Linked DNA regions of Saccharomyces cerevisiae S288C. Each later gene encodes a partner of the first gene's protein in a complex. Each region holds a gene or a part of one and is shown on either strand. Other genes may lie near its edges. The genes, in order: RSC58, RSC2, RSC8 and RSC4. A codon is read from its position in the direction of its gene.

Evidence for each region.
Region 2: the proteins of RSC58 (region 1) and RSC2 are in contact, whole or in part, in a cryo-EM structure (PDB 6K15), measured with the Saccharomyces cerevisiae proteins. Residues at the interface, in NP_013133.1 of Saccharomyces cerevisiae: Asp12 (codon at 1,976), Asn16 (codon at 1,964), Ser19 (codon at 1,955), Ile20 (codon at 1,952), Ala23 (codon at 1,943), Gln112 (codon at 1,676), Gly113 (codon at 1,673), Thr114 (codon at 1,670), Glu129 (codon at 1,625), Leu132 (codon at 1,616), Arg133 (codon at 1,613), Glu134 (codon at 1,610), Cys136 (codon at 1,604), Ile181 (codon at 1,469), Lys182 (codon at 1,466), Ile183 (codon at 1,463), Ser184 (codon at 1,460), Met185 (codon at 1,457), Asn186 (codon at 1,454), Tyr187 (codon at 1,451), Thr188 (codon at 1,448), Val189 (codon at 1,445), Ser192 (codon at 1,436), Thr194 (codon at 1,430), Tyr195 (codon at 1,427), Ile197 (codon at 1,421), Thr199 (codon at 1,415), Met202 (codon at 1,406), Leu204 (codon at 1,400), Phe205 (codon at 1,397); in NP_013461.1 of Saccharomyces cerevisiae: Ile741 (codon at 4,178), Met742 (codon at 4,181), Ala745 (codon at 4,190), Ser747 (codon at 4,196), Phe749 (codon at 4,202), Leu751 (codon at 4,208), Ile755 (codon at 4,220), Asn758 (codon at 4,229), Val759 (codon at 4,232), Asp760 (codon at 4,235), Val761 (codon at 4,238), Leu762 (codon at 4,241), Gln763 (codon at 4,244), Leu790 (codon at 4,325), Trp791 (codon at 4,328), Phe792 (codon at 4,331), Arg793 (codon at 4,334), Gly794 (codon at 4,337), Pro795 (codon at 4,340), Ser796 (codon at 4,343), Val797 (codon at 4,346), Ile798 (codon at 4,349), Val799 (codon at 4,352), Asn800 (codon at 4,355), Glu801 (codon at 4,358), Arg802 (codon at 4,361), Ile803 (codon at 4,364), Ile804 (codon at 4,367), Ser806 (codon at 4,373), His810 (codon at 4,385).
Region 3: the proteins of RSC58 (region 1) and RSC8 are in contact, whole or in part, in a cryo-EM structure (PDB 6V8O), measured with the Saccharomyces cerevisiae proteins. Residues at the interface, in NP_013133.1 of Saccharomyces cerevisiae: Arg137 (codon at 1,601), Asp167 (codon at 1,511), Leu172 (codon at 1,496), Asp173 (codon at 1,493), Ile176 (codon at 1,484), Ser177 (codon at 1,481), Tyr178 (codon at 1,478), Asp179 (codon at 1,475), Phe180 (codon at 1,472), Ile181 (codon at 1,469), Lys182 (codon at 1,466), Ile183 (codon at 1,463), Ser184 (codon at 1,460), Met185 (codon at 1,457), Asn186 (codon at 1,454), Tyr187 (codon at 1,451), Thr188 (codon at 1,448), Val189 (codon at 1,445), Pro190 (codon at 1,442), Ile191 (codon at 1,439), Leu232 (codon at 1,316), Pro233 (codon at 1,313), Thr235 (codon at 1,307), Asp236 (codon at 1,304), Ile237 (codon at 1,301), Glu238 (codon at 1,298), Glu240 (codon at 1,292), Ile387 (codon at 851), Ile388 (codon at 848), Lys389 (codon at 845); in NP_116695.3 of Saccharomyces cerevisiae: Thr229 (codon at 2,431), Asn233 (codon at 2,443), Val234 (codon at 2,446), Tyr235 (codon at 2,449), Asp236 (codon at 2,452), Gln239 (codon at 2,461), Phe241 (codon at 2,467), Ala243 (codon at 2,473), Glu247 (codon at 2,485), His255 (codon at 2,509), Tyr258 (codon at 2,518), Ile259 (codon at 2,521), His261 (codon at 2,527), Cys263 (codon at 2,533), Glu266 (codon at 2,542), Ser267 (codon at 2,545), Ile268 (codon at 2,548), Asn269 (codon at 2,551), Val270 (codon at 2,554), Arg271 (codon at 2,557), Tyr272 (codon at 2,560), His273 (codon at 2,563), Asn274 (codon at 2,566), Leu275 (codon at 2,569), Arg276 (codon at 2,572), Ala277 (codon at 2,575), Arg278 (codon at 2,578), Asp279 (codon at 2,581), Ser284 (codon at 2,596), Phe292 (codon at 2,620).
Region 4: the proteins of RSC58 (region 1) and RSC4 are in contact, whole or in part, in a cryo-EM structure (PDB 6K15), measured with the Saccharomyces cerevisiae proteins. Residues at the interface, in NP_013133.1 of Saccharomyces cerevisiae: Ala169 (codon at 1,505), Thr170 (codon at 1,502), Glu171 (codon at 1,499), Leu172 (codon at 1,496), Ile175 (codon at 1,487), Ile176 (codon at 1,484), Asp179 (codon at 1,475), Phe180 (codon at 1,472), Ile181 (codon at 1,469), Lys182 (codon at 1,466), Ile183 (codon at 1,463), Ser184 (codon at 1,460), Met185 (codon at 1,457), Asn186 (codon at 1,454), Tyr187 (codon at 1,451), Thr188 (codon at 1,448), Val189 (codon at 1,445), Pro190 (codon at 1,442), Ile191 (codon at 1,439), Gln193 (codon at 1,433), Gln196 (codon at 1,424), Asp203 (codon at 1,403), Phe205 (codon at 1,397), Lys216 (codon at 1,364), Arg217 (codon at 1,361), Pro218 (codon at 1,358), His219 (codon at 1,355), Ile228 (codon at 1,328), Asn229 (codon at 1,325), Asn230 (codon at 1,322); in NP_012933.4 of Saccharomyces cerevisiae: Leu364 (codon at 1,313), Tyr377 (codon at 1,274), Leu379 (codon at 1,268), Asn380 (codon at 1,265), Asn382 (codon at 1,259), Lys385 (codon at 1,250), Ser429 (codon at 1,118), Met430 (codon at 1,115), Gln431 (codon at 1,112), Lys432 (codon at 1,109), Glu433 (codon at 1,106), Met434 (codon at 1,103), Gln435 (codon at 1,100), Ser436 (codon at 1,097), Leu437 (codon at 1,094), Ser438 (codon at 1,091), His441 (codon at 1,082), Met443 (codon at 1,076), Tyr445 (codon at 1,070), Lys446 (codon at 1,067), Asn478 (codon at 971), Trp481 (codon at 962), Glu483 (codon at 956), Tyr484 (codon at 953), Phe486 (codon at 947), Asn494 (codon at 923), Glu495 (codon at 920), Asn496 (codon at 917), Ala497 (codon at 914), Phe498 (codon at 911).

The regions. Positions count from the first base shown.
Region 1 is NC_001144.5:207,182-210,769, reverse strand, and holds RSC58 (Rsc58p), read right to left. Parts: upstream 2,010-3,588; coding exon 501-2,009; downstream 1-500. Other genes in the region: putative divalent metal ion transporter SMF3, read left to right, coding at 1-258; DNA helicase RAD5, read right to left, coding at 2,270-3,588. UniProt on the Saccharomyces cerevisiae protein: Component of the chromatin structure-remodeling complex (RSC), which is involved in transcription regulation and nucleosome positioning. RSC is responsible for the transfer of a histone octamer from a nucleosome core particle to naked DNA.
Region 2 is NC_001144.5:839,374-844,500, forward strand, and holds RSC2 (Rsc2p), read left to right. Parts: upstream 1-1,957; coding exon 1,958-4,627; downstream 4,628-5,127. Other genes in the region: ATG33 (Atg33p), read left to right, coding at 948-1,541; YLR358C (uncharacterized protein), read right to left, coding at 4,114-4,677; adenylosuccinase ADE13, read left to right, coding at 4,909-5,127. UniProt on the Saccharomyces cerevisiae protein: Component of the chromatin structure remodeling complex (RSC), which is involved in transcription regulation and nucleosome positioning. RSC is responsible for the transfer of a histone octamer from a nucleosome core particle to naked DNA.
Region 3 is NC_001138.5:227,013-230,932, reverse strand, and holds RSC8 (Rsc8p), read left to right. Parts: upstream 1-1,746; coding exon 1,747-3,420; downstream 3,421-3,920. Other genes in the region: IRC5 (putative ATPase), read right to left, coding at 1-1,553; anaphase promoting complex subunit CDC26, read right to left, coding at 3,596-3,920.
Region 4 is NC_001143.9:450,565-454,602, reverse strand, and holds RSC4 (Rsc4p), read right to left. Parts: upstream 2,403-4,038; coding exon 525-2,402; downstream 1-524. Other genes in the region: bifunctional hydroxyacyl-CoA dehydrogenase/enoyl-CoA hydratase FOX2, read left to right, coding at 1-251; MEH1 (Meh1p), read right to left, coding at 2,615-3,169; mitochondrial 54S ribosomal protein mL50 MRPL13, read left to right, coding at 3,386-4,038. UniProt on the Saccharomyces cerevisiae protein: Component of the chromatin structure remodeling complex (RSC), which is involved in transcription regulation and nucleosome positioning. RSC is responsible for the transfer of a histone octamer from a nucleosome core particle to naked DNA.

The DNA.
Region 1 (3,588 bases):
TCCGCTCCTTTAATTTATTTTACCGCAAATAGAAAGTTGATGGTTGTTCATGACGAAAATGGTGTGGTAAGAGCACCTGCCGATGTTAACGCCATTGCTGATGAAACCACTCCATTGAACTCCAAGCACAGTAAAATAGTTGATTTTACTAACAGTCGTTTGTTGACCTATACCTCTGTTTTCGTATGGGCTTTAATCGGGAGCTTGAATTGCTATTTGGTGATTTCCTATCTCTTAGGTGCCGACATCCATTTTTAATGGAACCTATTTATTGTCAAGTGTGTCGTTTTCTCTCGATTCTTGTTTTCTCTCATTTCTTTATTCTGCATAATACAACCCAAGTATATACTTACGTATGCATAGCCTTCAGAACAAATGCATACTTTATCTAATATCAAAATATAAACATACATTAGTCAAAAAAGACTTGATGAGCTTTCATGAAACTAAAACAAAGATAATTCATTATTTATCTTTGATTCCACTACCGCTGACACTATTTATTTCTTGTGTTTCCGTTTACGACCTGGTTGCGCCCTTACCACAGGTATGCTACCATTATAGTTTGTTTGTAATACTGGAAAGGCCCTTACATTGTTTATAGGAACCTTGGAAACCTTCTTTGCTAAGATAACCTCCTTTAGTATTCTTTTCACTTTGAAGTATAATTCTCGTTCCTCCGTAGTAGGCTTCAAAACTTTATTTAAAATCCTCTCCTTTCTAAGTCTTTTAAGTTTTAAGAGAGAGTCTGAAACCAACTTATCTGGTGTGCCATTTCGAAAGTTCTCAATTTCGTCATCTCCAATGTAATTAGATGGTGTCCAATTATATAAGTTTTGAAGCTTGATTATGAATTGTTCCTTATTCTCAGTACTCTCTGAATTTGCAGAAGCGATAGTCGCATCATTATCATTATCACCACCATCGTCCTGAACGCCATTGCTTTTGCCGTCAACATTTTTGTTGTTTTCATCGTTCTGCTTCCTGTTTATGCCTTCTTCATTCGTGTTCAGTAATTCTTCTTGTTTTACTTTCTTTTCATTTTTTTCATACAAGTCCATATAACCAATTCTTTCAAGCCAAATAAGACCCCTTGTTGTCGAATCCACAACGGTGCCGTTTTCATTAAAGGAAGGTGCCCAAGAATTATAATTACCATATTTTAGCCAGACGGTTGTAGGTAAAGCATACCAATTTGGATGCAAAAATCTAGTCATCATTTCAGTTGGTGGTAACGTAGGGTCCGGAATATTACTAGTATTAGCGCCTACAAATCCTAATCTTGGAGCTTCGTTTTCTATATCAGTTTGAGGTAAGACGTTGTTTATTTTGAAGTTTGTATTAGGAAGTTCATGAGGTCTTTTGTCAAGATTAGATTTAGAAATTATCGAAGAAAAAAGGTCCATATCCTTCGTTCTTATCTGATATGTTTGAGAAATCGGCACTGTGTAATTCATAGAAATCTTAATAAAATCATAAGAGATTATTTTGTCTAGTTCTGTTGCATCGTCATCGTCGTATTCATCCATCTCGTTTCCGCTCAACAACTTACCACTTCTTGATTTAATATTATTAGTTTGCGTTAGAGCAATTCCTATCCTACAACATTCTCGTAATAAAAGCTCTGAAGAAAATTTGTAGAACTTGTCGACTAATTGGTAGTTTCTTGTACCCTGAGGATAAAAGTGAATGAGGATTGTACAAACCAGCTTAATGTCGTGATACAGCTTATAAAACCCACCTTGTATGGGTTCGTACTCTCCATTTTCAAACCTCTTATTGATAGTTGTCAAAACTAATTTATCTTCATTACGTATCAAACCTTCAGAGTTACTTCTATTTTTAATGAATTTACAATATGATTCATATATCTTATCCGGATTTTTCTCAAAGAACTTGGCTGGAAAACTTTCATCTACTACATGACATTTCACAGAGGCAGCATTCAAAATGGATTGAACATTTACCAAAAAATCTACTAGTTTATTTCCACCTACACTTTCTGTCATAATGAAAACTTTCGATTTTCAAAATTATCTCTTATTTGATCCCGACTGATGATGATTTTCTTCGTCTTCGTATTTCTATCGTCCATGCCTTATGGCGCTGTTTTATTTTCTTAATTGTTTTTTTAATAATTGCAACTTAAAAATACGGGTAACGGAAAAGGAAGATAATAGAAGTTGCATGAAGTAGCTGAAGAATAATTAGTTCTTTCGGGTTGAAAATAATAATAAATAAAGTCTTTATATATGAGTATGTGGTATGACTATTCAAACAGCATCTGGATTTCTTCAATTCTCCTTTTTCTTCTCTCGTCTTCGTCTGTGTCCATGGCCTCACCGATGGTTCTCTTCTTTTCTTGAATGCGTAGCATTTTTTCTTCTATGCTATCTTGTATGATAAATCTCATAACTTTGACGCTGTTTGTCTGGCCAATTCTATGCAGTCTATCGATTGCCTGATCTTCCATACTGGGCGACCACCATGGGTCCATCATATAAGCGTGGGAAGCACACGTTAGATTCAAACCCACGCCACCAGCCTTCAGCGAGAGTAATAGGATTTTTTGCCTGCTATAGTCTTTAACGGCAAAATCTGCTAATACACTAGTTCTTTCTTTTAATGAGAGACGTCCATCGAATTTATAAATTTTTGCAACATCTTTTGAGAAAGTATGAGTTAGCTCTTTCTCCAGGATATCCAAGTATGTAGAAAATTGGGAAAAAATGACAACTTGTTCGCCTGCCGAACTATCCTGTAGCAATTGAAGCTCCTTCAATAAAGCAGTGATTTTGCTTGATTTGGAGGCTGGTGAATATGGTTTGAATTCCAAATTTTTCGAGTTGCTATTCGTTTGTACCAATGCCAACAACCGACAAGCGTCTATTTGGTTACGGCAATTGGGGCACTTTAAACCCAAATTCTTACTGTTCTGAAACTCAATATATTCAAATAAACATTTCTCACAAAAACTGTGGCCGCATTCTGTAAATAAAGCCTTGTCCAAATCCATAGGTTCCGTTGTGCAGATGGAGCACTCTAAGGACTGAAACGATTTATTGTCTGGATATTTAACTTTTAATCTTTGTATCATTGCATCTAATTCCTCCTTAGAAAATGAGTTATCGAATCTCTCGGAAACAACACGCATTAAAGAGTCAAGCTCCACCGTTTGTTCCGTAACCAATTTATTATTTTTAGATAAATCCTCATCGTTCTCATCTTGACTCCCAATAAGACCGGGATGGCAACAGACTTGCCTCAATCTTAAAATATGGACAAGGATAGTGGAGTACTTTTTCAATAAATCACCGCGTGCAATACCCGATTTAACAGAAACTTCAGCCTTATCCAACAGAAACTTGTATAGAAGATCTTGAGATTTACTGAAGGGAAGTCTTTTAATAACGACCTCCTTTGGTGGCAACTCTACTAATGGCTTACCATCTTTATCTTTCATTTGTTTTGTCCTTCTTAACAATACGGGTTCCAGAATTGCATTCACCACATCAAATGCTTGTTTGTAATTTTTACTCTCAAAAGGCGTTGATACAAAGGTCTTCCAGTAATTAATTTGCCGCCAGG
Region 2 (5,127 bases), 630 kb from region 1:
GTGTAAAAGCCATTGAGTCAAGTTAGGTCATCCCTTTTATACAAAATTTTTCAATTTTTTTTCCAAGATTCTTGTACGATTAATTATTTTTTTTTTGCGTCCTACAGCGTGATGAAAATTTCGCCTGCTGCAAGATGAGCGGGAACGGGCGAAATGTGCACGCGCACAACTTACGAAACGCGGATGAGTCACTGACAGCCACCGCAGAGGTTCTGACTCCTACTGAGCTCTATTGGAGGTGGCAGAACCGGTACCGGAGGAGACCGCTATAACCGGTTTGAATTTATTGTCACAGTGTCACATCAGCGGCAACTCAGAAGTTTGACAGCAAGCAAGTTCATCATTCGAACTAGCCTTATTGTTTTAGTTCAGTGACAGCGAACTGCCGTACTCGATGCTTTATTTCTCACGGTAGAGCGGAAGAACAGATAGGGGCAGCGTGAGAAGAGTTAGAAAGTAAATTTTTATCACGTCTGAAGTATTCTTATTCATAGGAAATTTTGCAAGGTTTTTTAGCTCAATAACGGGCTAAGTTATATAAGGTGTTCACGCGATTTTCTTGTTATGTATACCTCTTCTCTGAGGAATGGTACTACTGTCCTGATGTAGGCTCCTTAAATTGGTGGGCAAGAATAACTTATCGATATTTTGTATATTGGTCTTGGAGTTCACCACGTAATGCCTGTTTAAGACCATCAGTTAACTCTAGTATTATTTGGTCTTGGCTACTGGCCGTTTGCTATTATTCAAGTCTTTTGTGCCTTCCCGTCGGGTAAGGGAGTTATTTAGGGATACAGAATCTAACGAAAACTAAATCTCAATGATTAACTCCATTTAATCCTTTTTTGAAAGGCAAAAGAGGTCCCTTGTTCACTTACAACGTTCTTAGCCAAATTCGCTTATCACTTACTACTTCACGATATACAGAAGTAAAAACATATAAAAAGATGTCTGTTTGTTTAGCCATCACAAAAGGTATCGCAGTTTCTTCTATAGGCCTCTACTCTGGTCTTTTGGCTTCCGCTTCATTGATTACATCTACTACTCCACTAGAGGTTTTAACAGGATCCCTTACTCCCACTTTAACCACTTTGAAAAATGCGGCCACCGCCTTGGGAGCGTTTGCGTCAACTTTCTTTTGTGTGAGCTTTTTCGGCGCTCCTCCCTCATTGAGACACCCCTACTTACTCTATGGTATGCTTGTAGCTCCATTATCTTCATTTGTTCTAGGATGTGCCTCCAACTATCAGTCTAGAAAGTACAGTAAAGTCTCTAAGGAATCTTCTTTATTTCCCGAAGACAGCAAACTCGCTGCTTCCGAACTGAGCGATTCTATTATTGATTTAGGTGAAGACAACCATGCTTCAGAAAATACACCTCGAGACGGGAAGCCTGCAGCAACCACAGTATCAAAGCCGGCAGAGGCATTGCACACCGGTCCCCCAATCCATACTAAAAATCTAATTGCAGCAACTGCTATTGCTATTGTTGGCTTTGTACAAGCCGTTATTGGCGTTTATGGGGAAGGACAATTTATCTAGTGTTTCTCGTTCACGTATTTATCTCTACAAGAATTTGTAGCTGCCTGAACTCGGCTCCTCTCTCTCTCCAAAAATAAAGTGTGTAGTAATTTGCAGTTTTTTTATATATTCCTACGAGTTTTCAAACGTTCAAAAGACAGTATGTTCAAAAATTGTGCATACACACACGTATGCACATATATACATAATAATACACTGTAATAAGCACATTTGTAGGTGCTCTTGCACTTGGTTTATTACTGTCACTGACTTTTCTCACCCGGCCGAGAGTCGTGCGAAAATTCGCATGTTAAAGTGAGAAAATAGAGAAAACAACACAGCTGAAAAAAGTATTGGTAACAGTTCAATACGTGATCAAATATACAGCACGTCGCGCAGAACCAGACGAAGCGGAGAATATTCTACATTGACAGTGCATGATGCCTGATGACAATTCAAACTCGTCCACTCAAAACTCAAGCGCATTATACAAGGACCTGAGGAAAGAATATGAATCTCTTTTCACTTTAAAGGAAGATTCTGGGTTAGAGATTTCACCAATATTCAATGTCCTTCCACCTAAAAAGGATTATCCTGACTACTACGCAGTGATCAAGAACCCTGTATCTTTCAATACTTTAAAAAAGCGTATTCCACATTATACAGATGCTCAACAGTTTATGAACGATGTTGTCCAGATTCCATGGAATGCCAAGACTTACAATACAAGAGATTCAGGAATTTATAAATACGCCTTAGTCCTTGAGAAATATTTAAAGGACACAATCTATCCAAATTTAAAAGAAAAATATCCTCAATTAGTGTATCCTGATTTGGGTCCTCTACCCGATGAACCAGGTTATGAAGAGTTTCAACAGAAATTAAGAGAAAAAGCTGAGGAAGTAGCGAGAGCTAATGCAGCCAGAGCCGAGTCGAGCTCTTCAATGAATTCAACAGAAGCAGCCAGAAGATTAAGAAAGACTCGTACTTCCGTCAAAAGAGAATCAGAACCAGGAACCGATACAAATAATGATGAGGACTATGAGGCGACGGATATGGATATCGATAACCCTAAGGATGCTGATTTTCCTGATTTGATAAGAAAGCCACTAATAAATATTAATCCATATACTCGGAAACCATTAAGAGACAACAGGTCCACTACTCCATCTCACTCAGGCACCCCTCAGCCGTTAGGCCCAAGGCATAGACAGGTATCCAGAACTCAGGTAAAGCGTGGGAGACCCCCAATCATCGACTTACCGTATATTCAAAGAATGAAAAATGTTATGAAAGTACTAAAAAAAGAGGTGCTAGATAGTGGAATTGGTCTAACTGATCTTTTTGAAAGATTGCCCGATAGACACAGAGATGCAAATTACTACATCATGATTGCTAATCCAATTAGTCTTCAAGACATAAATAAAAAGGTAAAGACTCGTCGTTATAAAACGTTCCAGGAGTTCCAGAATGATTTTAATCTTATGTTAACCAACTTTAGAATTTCGCACAGAGGTGATCCTGAAAGCATAAAAATTTCAAATATCTTAGAAAAGACCTTTACTAGTCTGGCAAGATTCGAACTATCCAAACCTGATAGAAGTTTCATTCCAGAAGGCGAGCTAAGATACCCTCTAGATGAAGTCATTGTAAATAATATATCATACCACGTGGGAGATTGGGCACTTCTTCGAAATCAAAATGATCCTCAAAAACCTATAGTGGGCCAAATATTCAGGCTATGGAAGACACCAGATGGGAAACAATGGTTAAACGCTTGTTGGTATTACAGACCCGAACAAACTGTGCATAGAGTGGATAGATTGTTTTACAAAAACGAAGTTATGAAAACAGGTCAGTACCGTGATCATTTAGTGTCAAACTTAGTTGGGAAATGCTATGTGATTCACTTTACTAGATATCAACGTGGTAATCCCGATATGAAATTGGAGGGTCCCTTGTTCGTTTGCGAATTCCGTTATAATGAATCCGATAAAATTTTTAACAAGATTAGAACCTGGAAGGCTTGCTTACCAGAGGAAATTCGTGATTTGGACGAAGCTACCATTCCGGTAAATGGTAGAAAGTTCTTCAAATATCCTTCCCCCATAAGACATCTACTACCAGCTAATGCAACGCCGCATGATCGCGTTCCTGAACCAACGATGGGATCCCCGGACGCGCCACCATTGGTCGGTGCCGTTTATATGAGACCTAAAATGCAGCGTGACGATTTGGGGGAATATGCAACCTCTGATGACTGTCCCAGGTATATTATCAGACCCAACGATTCTCCCGAAGAGGGACAAGTGGATATAGAAACAGGTACGATCACCACAAACACGCCAACAGCAAATGCTCTTCCTAAAACAGGATACTCAAGTAGTAAACTATCCAGTTTAAGATATAACAGGTCATCTATGTCTTTAGAAAACCAAAATGCTATTGGCCAGCAACAAATACCACTGTCAAGAGTTGGTTCCCCTGGCGCGGGAGGCCCGCTTACTGTACAAGGTTTAAAGCAACACCAATTGCAAAGGTTACAACAGCAGCAACATCAATACCAACAACAGAAAAGATCCCAAGCATCACGTTATAATATCCCAACAATAATCGATGATTTAACATCGCAGGCATCAAGAGGTAATTTGGGTAATATAATGATCGATGCAGCCTCCTCGTTTGTCTTACCTATCTCTATAACCAAAAACGTAGATGTTTTGCAGCGTACTGATCTGCACAGCCAAACCAAGAGATCTGGAAGAGAAGAGATGTTTCCATGGAAAAAAACAAAGGGTGAAATATTATGGTTCAGAGGACCTAGTGTGATAGTAAATGAACGAATAATAAATTCAGGTGACCCACACCTAAGCCTGCCACTGAATAGGTGGTTTACCACTAACAAGAAAAGAAAACTAGAATACGAAGAAGTTGAAGAAACCATGGAAGATGTGACTGGAAAGGACAAAGATGATGATGGCTTAGAACCGGATGTTGAAAATGAGAAAGAGTCCTTGCCAGGCCCATTTGTCCTTGGATTAAGACCCTCGGCTAAGTTCACGGCGCACAGACTCTCTATGCTGCGGCCTCCTTCGTCGTCTTCATGATCACCTTTATTGTAAAAGCAATGGCAGCATAATATCTTCCCATTGCGCATTACCCTCCGCGAGCAGAGTCAAACTTCAAACAAAGCAGGAAAATGAAATAAAACAGAAGTTATTATATAGAAGAAAGTCATCTATAGATATATTATCGTTGTATTAATAGTAGCCATATAAAACAATTATACTTCATCACCAACCTCTCAAAATTTCTTCCCCAAGGACCAAAGCTTTTCCAGTAAGTTGCTACAACTAAAGTGAAATAAACTATCCGAATTATATAAAAGATGCCTGACTATGACAATTACACTACGCCATTGTCTTCTAGATATGCCTCCAAGGAAATGTCAGCAACGTTTTCTTTGAGAAACAGATTTTCCACATGGAGAAAACTATGGTTAAATTTGGCTATTGCTGAGAAGGAATTGGGCTTAACTGTTGTTACAGATGAAGCAATTGAGCAAATGCGCAAACACGTCGAAATCACTGATGATGAAATCGCAAAA
Region 3 (3,920 bases), on another chromosome or scaffold:
GAAACGTGGCCGATGTATTCATCGTTCAATGTGAAAAAATCCTTGATTAATTCTTTGAACATGGTTTTTTTCAACTTTCCATTCAATCCAGCCTTATAGAATTTTTCCTGTGCAGACGTCATCGGACAATTTATGATATATTCTCTCTTTGGCGGCAGAATATTAGCCAAAACAACTTTTTTCAATCTTCTCAAAAGGAATGGTTTCAGAATTGTGTGTAAATTGGAAATCAAATTTTTCTGTAGTTCATCGTTGATTAACTTATTCAATGCTTCAGAGTTGGAACCGGAGCCTAAATTTAAGCTGTCGAAGTCAAACCATTTATTGAATATCTCGAAATCGGCAAAGATATCGGGCATTATGAAATTCAAAAGTGACCATAATTCAGCTAGGTTATTTTGTAAAGGCGTCCCTGTTAGTAGCAGTCTATTGGAAGTATTGATTTTTTTTAACTCTTTAATCAATCTACAGTTTATATTTTTCAGACGGTGGCCTTCATCAACAATTAAAAATTTCCAATTTTGACTCATGATTAAGTCGGTATCTCTTAAAATAATTTCATATGATGTGATGACGATCCCCGTGCCGCCGTGTTGTTTAAAGAAATTTTTCAACTTGGCAGAACGTTCCTTATAACCATTGGTCCCATAATATTTTAGAACTGGTAGATCAGGAGCGAATTTTGCAAATTCGTTCATCCAATTATCTAGGGTGCTTAATGGTGCAGTCACTAGAAAAGGACCCTTTGTGTCCATTTCATATATGAACGCCAAAAGAGCAATACTTTGAACAGTCTTACCAAGACCCATTTCATCGGCAAGAATTCCGTTCAGGCCATTTTCATAAAGAGTGATCAGCCAGTTAAGACCTTCTAGTTGGTAAGGTTTTAAAATACAGTTTTTCAATAGGCGAGGTTGCTTTATTGCTGCATCGTCTGGTGCGCCGTTTTGGGTGGTTGTATCTTCGTTCTTTTTCTGTTTTTTGAAGAAATCTGTTATTGATTTTTTTTTTGTTTTACGTTTTTTTGAAGAATGTTCTTCATCATCAGAGTTGCTGTTATCTTTTGTATTAGCGTTAGCCACTTCATTAGATCGATGTAGTAAAGTATCGGCGATTATACTGGAATATACCTGACTCTGCCTCACAAACTCGTTTAGTTTCTTAAGTTTTAAAGAAACCGTCTTGGTATCCATCTCGGAGAGCTCATCATCCAAGGATTTTTGCTCTGATTTCGTGTCTTTTGCCAATTTATCCACCACTTGGGCTTGAACAGCTTCTGTATCGGAATCGTCCTCTGAGTCCAGCTGAATATCTTCGTCTGAATGCACATCATCTTGTAACCATATGGGGGCAGTGTCATTGTCGCCTTTGCCATGTTTATTGTCCTCTGAATCCAAATCTGAATCTGAATCTGAAATGTCAGCCGTTAGGTCATTGACTTCCTTCTCCCGGTAATTGACGCCATTGCTCATGTTTCTCGTCCTTGCAGCCACCCTGGCCCCAACAGCATCCTCAACAACAGTCATCAGCGCCGCGTTTGAGCATCTGCTCATCTCATCGCCAAATTTGATACTTCCTTAATCCGTTACTCTTTTCTATGATAATTTAATTACGGCGTTCTCTTTGTCACCCGCTTGATGTAAAAAAGTTGGAAAAAATAAGTTTCATCAACATTGAATTAGTTCGTGAGGTTTATAGAGAGAAGGGTAGAGCAGAGAAGCAAAGAGTAGATAGAAGGCCAGGATAATGAGCGACACTGAAAAGGATAAGGATGTCCCTATGGTAGACTCGCACGAAGCGACCGAGGAGCCACCCACCACAAGCACCAACACGCCATCTTTCCCTCACTTAGCACAGGAACAGGCGAAGGAGGAATCTGCCACATTGGGAGCAGAAGTAGCTCATAAGAAAATCAATTACGAGCAAGAAGCACAGAAACTGGAGGAGAAGGCCCTTAGGTTCCTGGCAAAGCAAACTCACCCGGTGATTATTCCGTCGTTTGCCTCTTGGTTTGATATTTCGAAGATCCACGAGATCGAAAAAAGATCCAATCCCGACTTTTTCAACGATTCATCAAGGTTCAAGACACCAAAGGCATATAAGGACACAAGAAATTTTATCATCAACACGTACCGTCTTTCGCCGTACGAATATTTGACCATTACCGCTGTGAGAAGAAATGTTGCCATGGATGTTGCCTCGATAGTGAAGATTCACGCGTTCTTGGAAAAATGGGGCTTAATCAATTATCAGATTGACCCCAGGACCAAGCCCAGTCTTATTGGGCCAAGTTTTACGGGCCACTTCCAAGTGGTTCTGGACACTCCGCAGGGGTTAAAGCCATTTTTACCAGAGAATGTGATCAAGCAAGAAGTGGAAGGAGGAGATGGAGCGGAACCACAAGTCAAGAAGGAATTTCCCGTTAATCTCACAATCAAGAAGAACGTTTACGATTCTGCACAAGACTTCAATGCATTACAAGACGAAAGTAGAAACTCCAGGCAGATTCACAAAGTTTACATTTGCCATACATGCGGTAACGAGTCAATCAATGTGCGCTACCACAATTTGCGTGCACGGGACACCAACCTGTGCTCCCGTTGTTTCCAAGAGGGTCATTTCGGTGCCAACTTTCAATCTTCAGATTTCATCAGATTAGAAAACAACGGAAACTCGGTTAAAAAAAACTGGTCAGACCAGGAGATGCTACTATTGCTGGAGGGTATTGAAATGTATGAAGACCAGTGGGAGAAGATTGCTGACCACGTGGGTGGGCACAAGCGTGTAGAAGACTGCATTGAAAAATTCCTAAGCTTACCGATCGAGGACAACTACATCCGAGAAGTTGTTGGTTCAACGCTGAATGGTAAGGGTGGCGACAGCCGCGATGGTAGTGTGTCCGGTTCGAAGTTGATGGAATGCGTGAATGATGCTGTCCAGACGCTACTGCAAGGCGACGACAAATTGGGTAAGGTCTCTGATAAGTCGAGAGAGATCTCCGAAAAGTACATTGAAGAAAGCCAAGCGATAATCCAAGAGTTAGTCAAGCTGACCATGGAGAAATTAGAGAGCAAGTTTACAAAGCTGTGCGATCTAGAAACGCAACTGGAGATGGAAAAACTGAAATATGTGAAGGAATCTGAAAAGATGCTGAACGACCGATTATCACTGAGTAAACAGATTCTTGACCTGAACAAGTCGCTGGAGGAGTTGAATGTGTCGAAGAAACTGGTACTGATCTCGGAGCAAGTAGACTCGGGCATACAACTAGTGGAGAAGGACCAGGAGGGCGATGACGAAGACGGCAATACGGCCACAGGACATGGCGTGAAACGTGTAGGCAAGGAAGGCGAGGAAGTAGGCGAAGGCGACTCCATTGCAAAATTGCAGCCCCAGGTGTACAAACCGTGGTCATTGTAAAAAAATATATAAGAAAAAAAAAAAAAAAAAAAAAGAGAGCCTACAAAGTGTACTATTGTCATATTTTATATTTCTAATACAACGTATATAAAACTAGAGAGAAGAAATTTTATAAGTGAAAGTGAATGTGGATGCGTGCGCGTGTGCGTGTGCGTGTGCGTATGCGGATATGCTATTATTCCTCGCGGATGTAGAAGGGGTTGTGGTTGTCGTTTGCATTGGACGTCTCGTGGGCGGTATTGCTGTCGGTGGACAGATGCAAGGAATTGAGGACTCTGGTGTGCGCTACCGAGGCTGCTTTGTCGTTGTAAGATGACATGTCGTCATCTTCATCGATATCGTTATCGTTATCGTTATTGTTGTCTTCGATATTCTGCGATGTGTCCTGAAAGTCTGTATTGGAGTGCAGCGATCCGCCATTTTTTCCTTGGAAGTATTTTGTCTTCTCGATATTCAGCTGCTGCTTGAGTTTCTGCTCGTTCAGGTCATCGATCAGAGAG
Region 4 (4,038 bases), on another chromosome or scaffold:
AATTTCCTACGCCAATTCTGCATGGGCTTTGTACATTAGGTATTAGTGCGAAAGCATTGTTTGAACATTATGGTCCATATGAGGAGTTGAAAGTGAGATTTACCAATGTTGTTTTCCCAGGTGATACTCTAAAGGTTAAAGCTTGGAAGCAAGGCTCGGTTGTCGTTTTTCAAACAATTGATACGACCAGAAACGTCATTGTATTGGATAACGCCGCTGTAAAACTATCGCAGGCAAAATCTAAACTATAATACAAAAAAAGATTTGAATAATATAAAAAATAGCGATTATATTCTTTTCATTTAACAGCTTTGTTAAGCCATATCCTTACATACATCTTTCCCTACATAACTAACCTACCCATTTTAAGTACTTTTTCTTTACGGACGCAACTTTTTTGTCATGTGTAATATTAACAGTTTTAATCTATATAGAGGAAGAGGATGGATAATATTACAAAGTGTATATAGGTTGTATATAGATACATGCATATGATGGGAAGACTATGAAGAGAGAGATAGTCATCATGGTAAGACATTTATCCAGAAATTCATGAATTCCGTTTCATGAGATATTTTGTCCTCACACCTAAACATCAAATGATTTAAACCTTCTGATAAGCGAATATCAAAGATTTCGGTTATATTATTACGTTTATCATTATCGTTACCAACAATATCGTTATTGTTGCCGCCGCCGATTGTCAAATTTTCTATATCTTGCTTCGTATCGTTTCCAATAACATCATTTTCTTGTTGCTGAGGTTGGGAAAGGTTACTGTTTACATTTGAAGTTCTAGACTTCACTGGCTCTTTATTAATGGTTAATAAAGTCTCTGTATCCTTTAATGATGAGGTCAAATGAGACTGTAATGTTAAAAAAGTTTGCATGGGTTGTAACATGAAGGAGAAAGCGTTTTCATTTTGACTCAATTCATTACCATTGAAAATATACTCTACCCAATTTTGATTGCATGATGGCCTTGAACCCAGTAAAGGCTTAGTTGCCTGCGAATACAAATTTTTAGAAGAAAAAATGTAAATTTGTTGTATTAATTTATAGGGCTTATACTCCATGGTGTGTTGCTCTGAGAGTGATTGCATTTCTTTTTGCATGGATTTTATAACATTGTATTTGGGGATTTTTAAATGTTCGCTCTCTAAGGAGTTTGTCTTCTCAATATCAGATGTCGTTGATCTTTCATTTTTGACTTCGGATTGCACTGTTTCCGGTTTGGCTATTAACTTTTTGAAGTTGTTTGGGTTCAGTAAATAATCTTCAGTTAGGAGAGAACGATTATAACCATTGCCGAGACCTTCGAAATGATTGAAATCATAATCTGCTTGATCAATAAGATCTTCACGGTTAGATTCTGGCTCAATATCATTATCAAGAGCAGATATAGCTAACGCACCTGCTGCGGCTGGACCACCACCACCAATAGCTAAGTAGTTTTCGAATTCGAATTTGTCAAATTCTAAATTAATTTCGCCACGTTCATTTAAATCCTGTAACTCTGGGAAGAATTCCTTTTGTATTAAGTAGTTAAAATAATTTGTTAAAGTTGTTGCGTCTTTGTAAATCAAAGCGCTTGGATCATTGAATATATGAGCATTCTGAAAAACTAAAAGCATATCAATGATGAAATCATATATCTTGGAATACTGACCAATTTCGAGGTTCTGCTTTACGATCGATAAAGCCATGGGGCTATGCACTATTTCATAATATTCAGGAAGTTCATCTTTATCGACTAATTCCATAAACGGTTCACTTAGCTTGACTTTGTCGTCTAAGTTTTTAGGAGATGACGCACCCAGCAGAGCCTGGTTGATTTTCTTTTCCGTGGCGTCAACTAGCTTATTAAGATAGTGCAGTAATTTGGCTTTGACCTCGCTGTTAATTAAGTAATTTCTTTTCAAATTTTTTGCCTTCAATACTTCAAATTCAATCAACATTACTACTTGCATGGAGTTTTTTACAATCAAACTGTCATATTCATTGTAAGCTTGACAATTCTTTGTCAGTAGCTCAACATCCAAAAGAAAATTACTTGGACCATCTTCGTATTCATAATCTCTTGACTTGATTTCATTAATAGACATTGGCTGCTGGATCTTGTAATAATACTGTGGATGAAACTTCCTACTTGGTAGTTTGATGAAATCTTTGAAAATATCTTTGTATTTGTCGATAAGAACATCCAAAGTGAAACTAATAAATCGATTAAATTTAGGTATATGCCAGTCATCTAGAAAAAGTTCAGATTTAGGGTTTAATGGGGCGTTATAATCCACATGCGGAGTTTTCTCTTGGTTTTTAGGATGTTTTCCCGGCAAGTATTTAGGCCTTTCATCACTGCCACCGGCCTCAGTTGCCAACTTACGCTTCTTAACTACCATATCTGTGTACTTTATCTATTATTCTTTGGTTTGCTCTCTATTGTAATAACAGGCTGAGGGTCGTTTTAAACATCATCCTCTAGCATGCTTTTGTTGTTTTTTTTCTTGGGCTACTTGTCTTCCGAATTCGTCAAATGTGATTTTTTATTTCATTAACTATTTAACATTTATTTATAAAGCTTGTATACCAATGATGTTATACAAAAAGTTCATTAAAAGGGAACCGTCAAGGGGCCTGGTTTGTTTACCTGGGACTGGCTGAAAATTTCATTTAGTATATTAGAGTGCAACTTCTTTAACTGTTCCTTTGATATTTTCGCTGAATCCGGTGATGTAAGCAGAGTAAACGTATTAGTCCTTGGTGCAGTTTGGTGAGTAGTTGCCTGTGCGGATCCGCTTGAAGGCACTGAGTGCCCACTGAGGTTGTCATCACCTGCACTCCTTTCGTCTTCCCGGGAATCTCCACCTTCTTCCTGTTGTCTTTTATCAAGAGCTTCTTGCAGGTCTGTCCCTTGAATTACAATGCCACTATTGTTTATCATCGATATGTCTATTAGTTTATCGTTGGTGTTTGCAACAATGTCTCTTAACTCTTGTTCCCTGGCCAGCAGTTTCTGTTCGTGTTCGTGTTCCTTCAACCGCATTTGTTCGGCATCGTATTCGTCATTTGCGTTTCCTTGACTTCCATAGCCTGCCTGCTGTTCCCTCAGCAAAGCTTCATTCTCTTCGCCGGAATGGTTTCTACAACAGCTGAGTACGGCTCCCATTTTTACGACTTAAATCTGTCGTTGTATCCACTACCGCTATACTGGATTCGTACTCTGTGAATGCTCTCTTTTATTCTTCGTTCTTTATCGCTGCTGGTGAGGCGGGTAGCTGACAAATTTATAGTGAAACAACGACTTCTGTCAAATTAACTGCATGCCTGATCATCAGTCCTGAAGTGAATAATGGGTAGACGGAAAGGCGGACATAGTATGAGGATGTCGTCACTGCTTAAATTACATTGTATTAGACCATTGCCGCAAAGGTCGGTCTGGCTCTCTGGCTACAAGCAGAAAGCCAGATGTATTCACAGTTCCGCTGCAAACGGGGACTTTATGTCATGGTTCAAGAGGAAGAAGCAAGAAGAGCACCAAGAGCCTGTCAAGGACACCAAACAGTTGATAAAGGATATTGAAGAAGGCACTAACGAGGCTTCCTCTCAATCCTCTTCCAATAACAAAAACAGATTGGAGCTAATACCAGAAAATTTTATTGGCGAAGGGTCTAGACGGTGTAAGAGACAGAAGGAGTTGAAGCTTGCGGTCTCCTCTGCGCCATTCAATCAGTGGTTATCCAGGGATAAGATTACGTCTGATAATCAGTTAGATGATATGATATTGCAGGCAACGGAAAAAACATTGGGCAAAGTAGACCAGGACGTCCAATTCTCTGATTTGGTAGCTAAATTTCAGTTCACCAAATTTTTGCAATCTAAATCTGGCTATCTAATTCCTGATTATGAACTGACCACTTTAAGCACACCCTTGCAGTTTAAAAGGTATATTAAGGAAAAAATTTTGCCATCTGCCAACGATCCTAAACTCGCTTATAAAGAAGCTGAGCCAAATGCTATCCACCCATTTTCTGATAA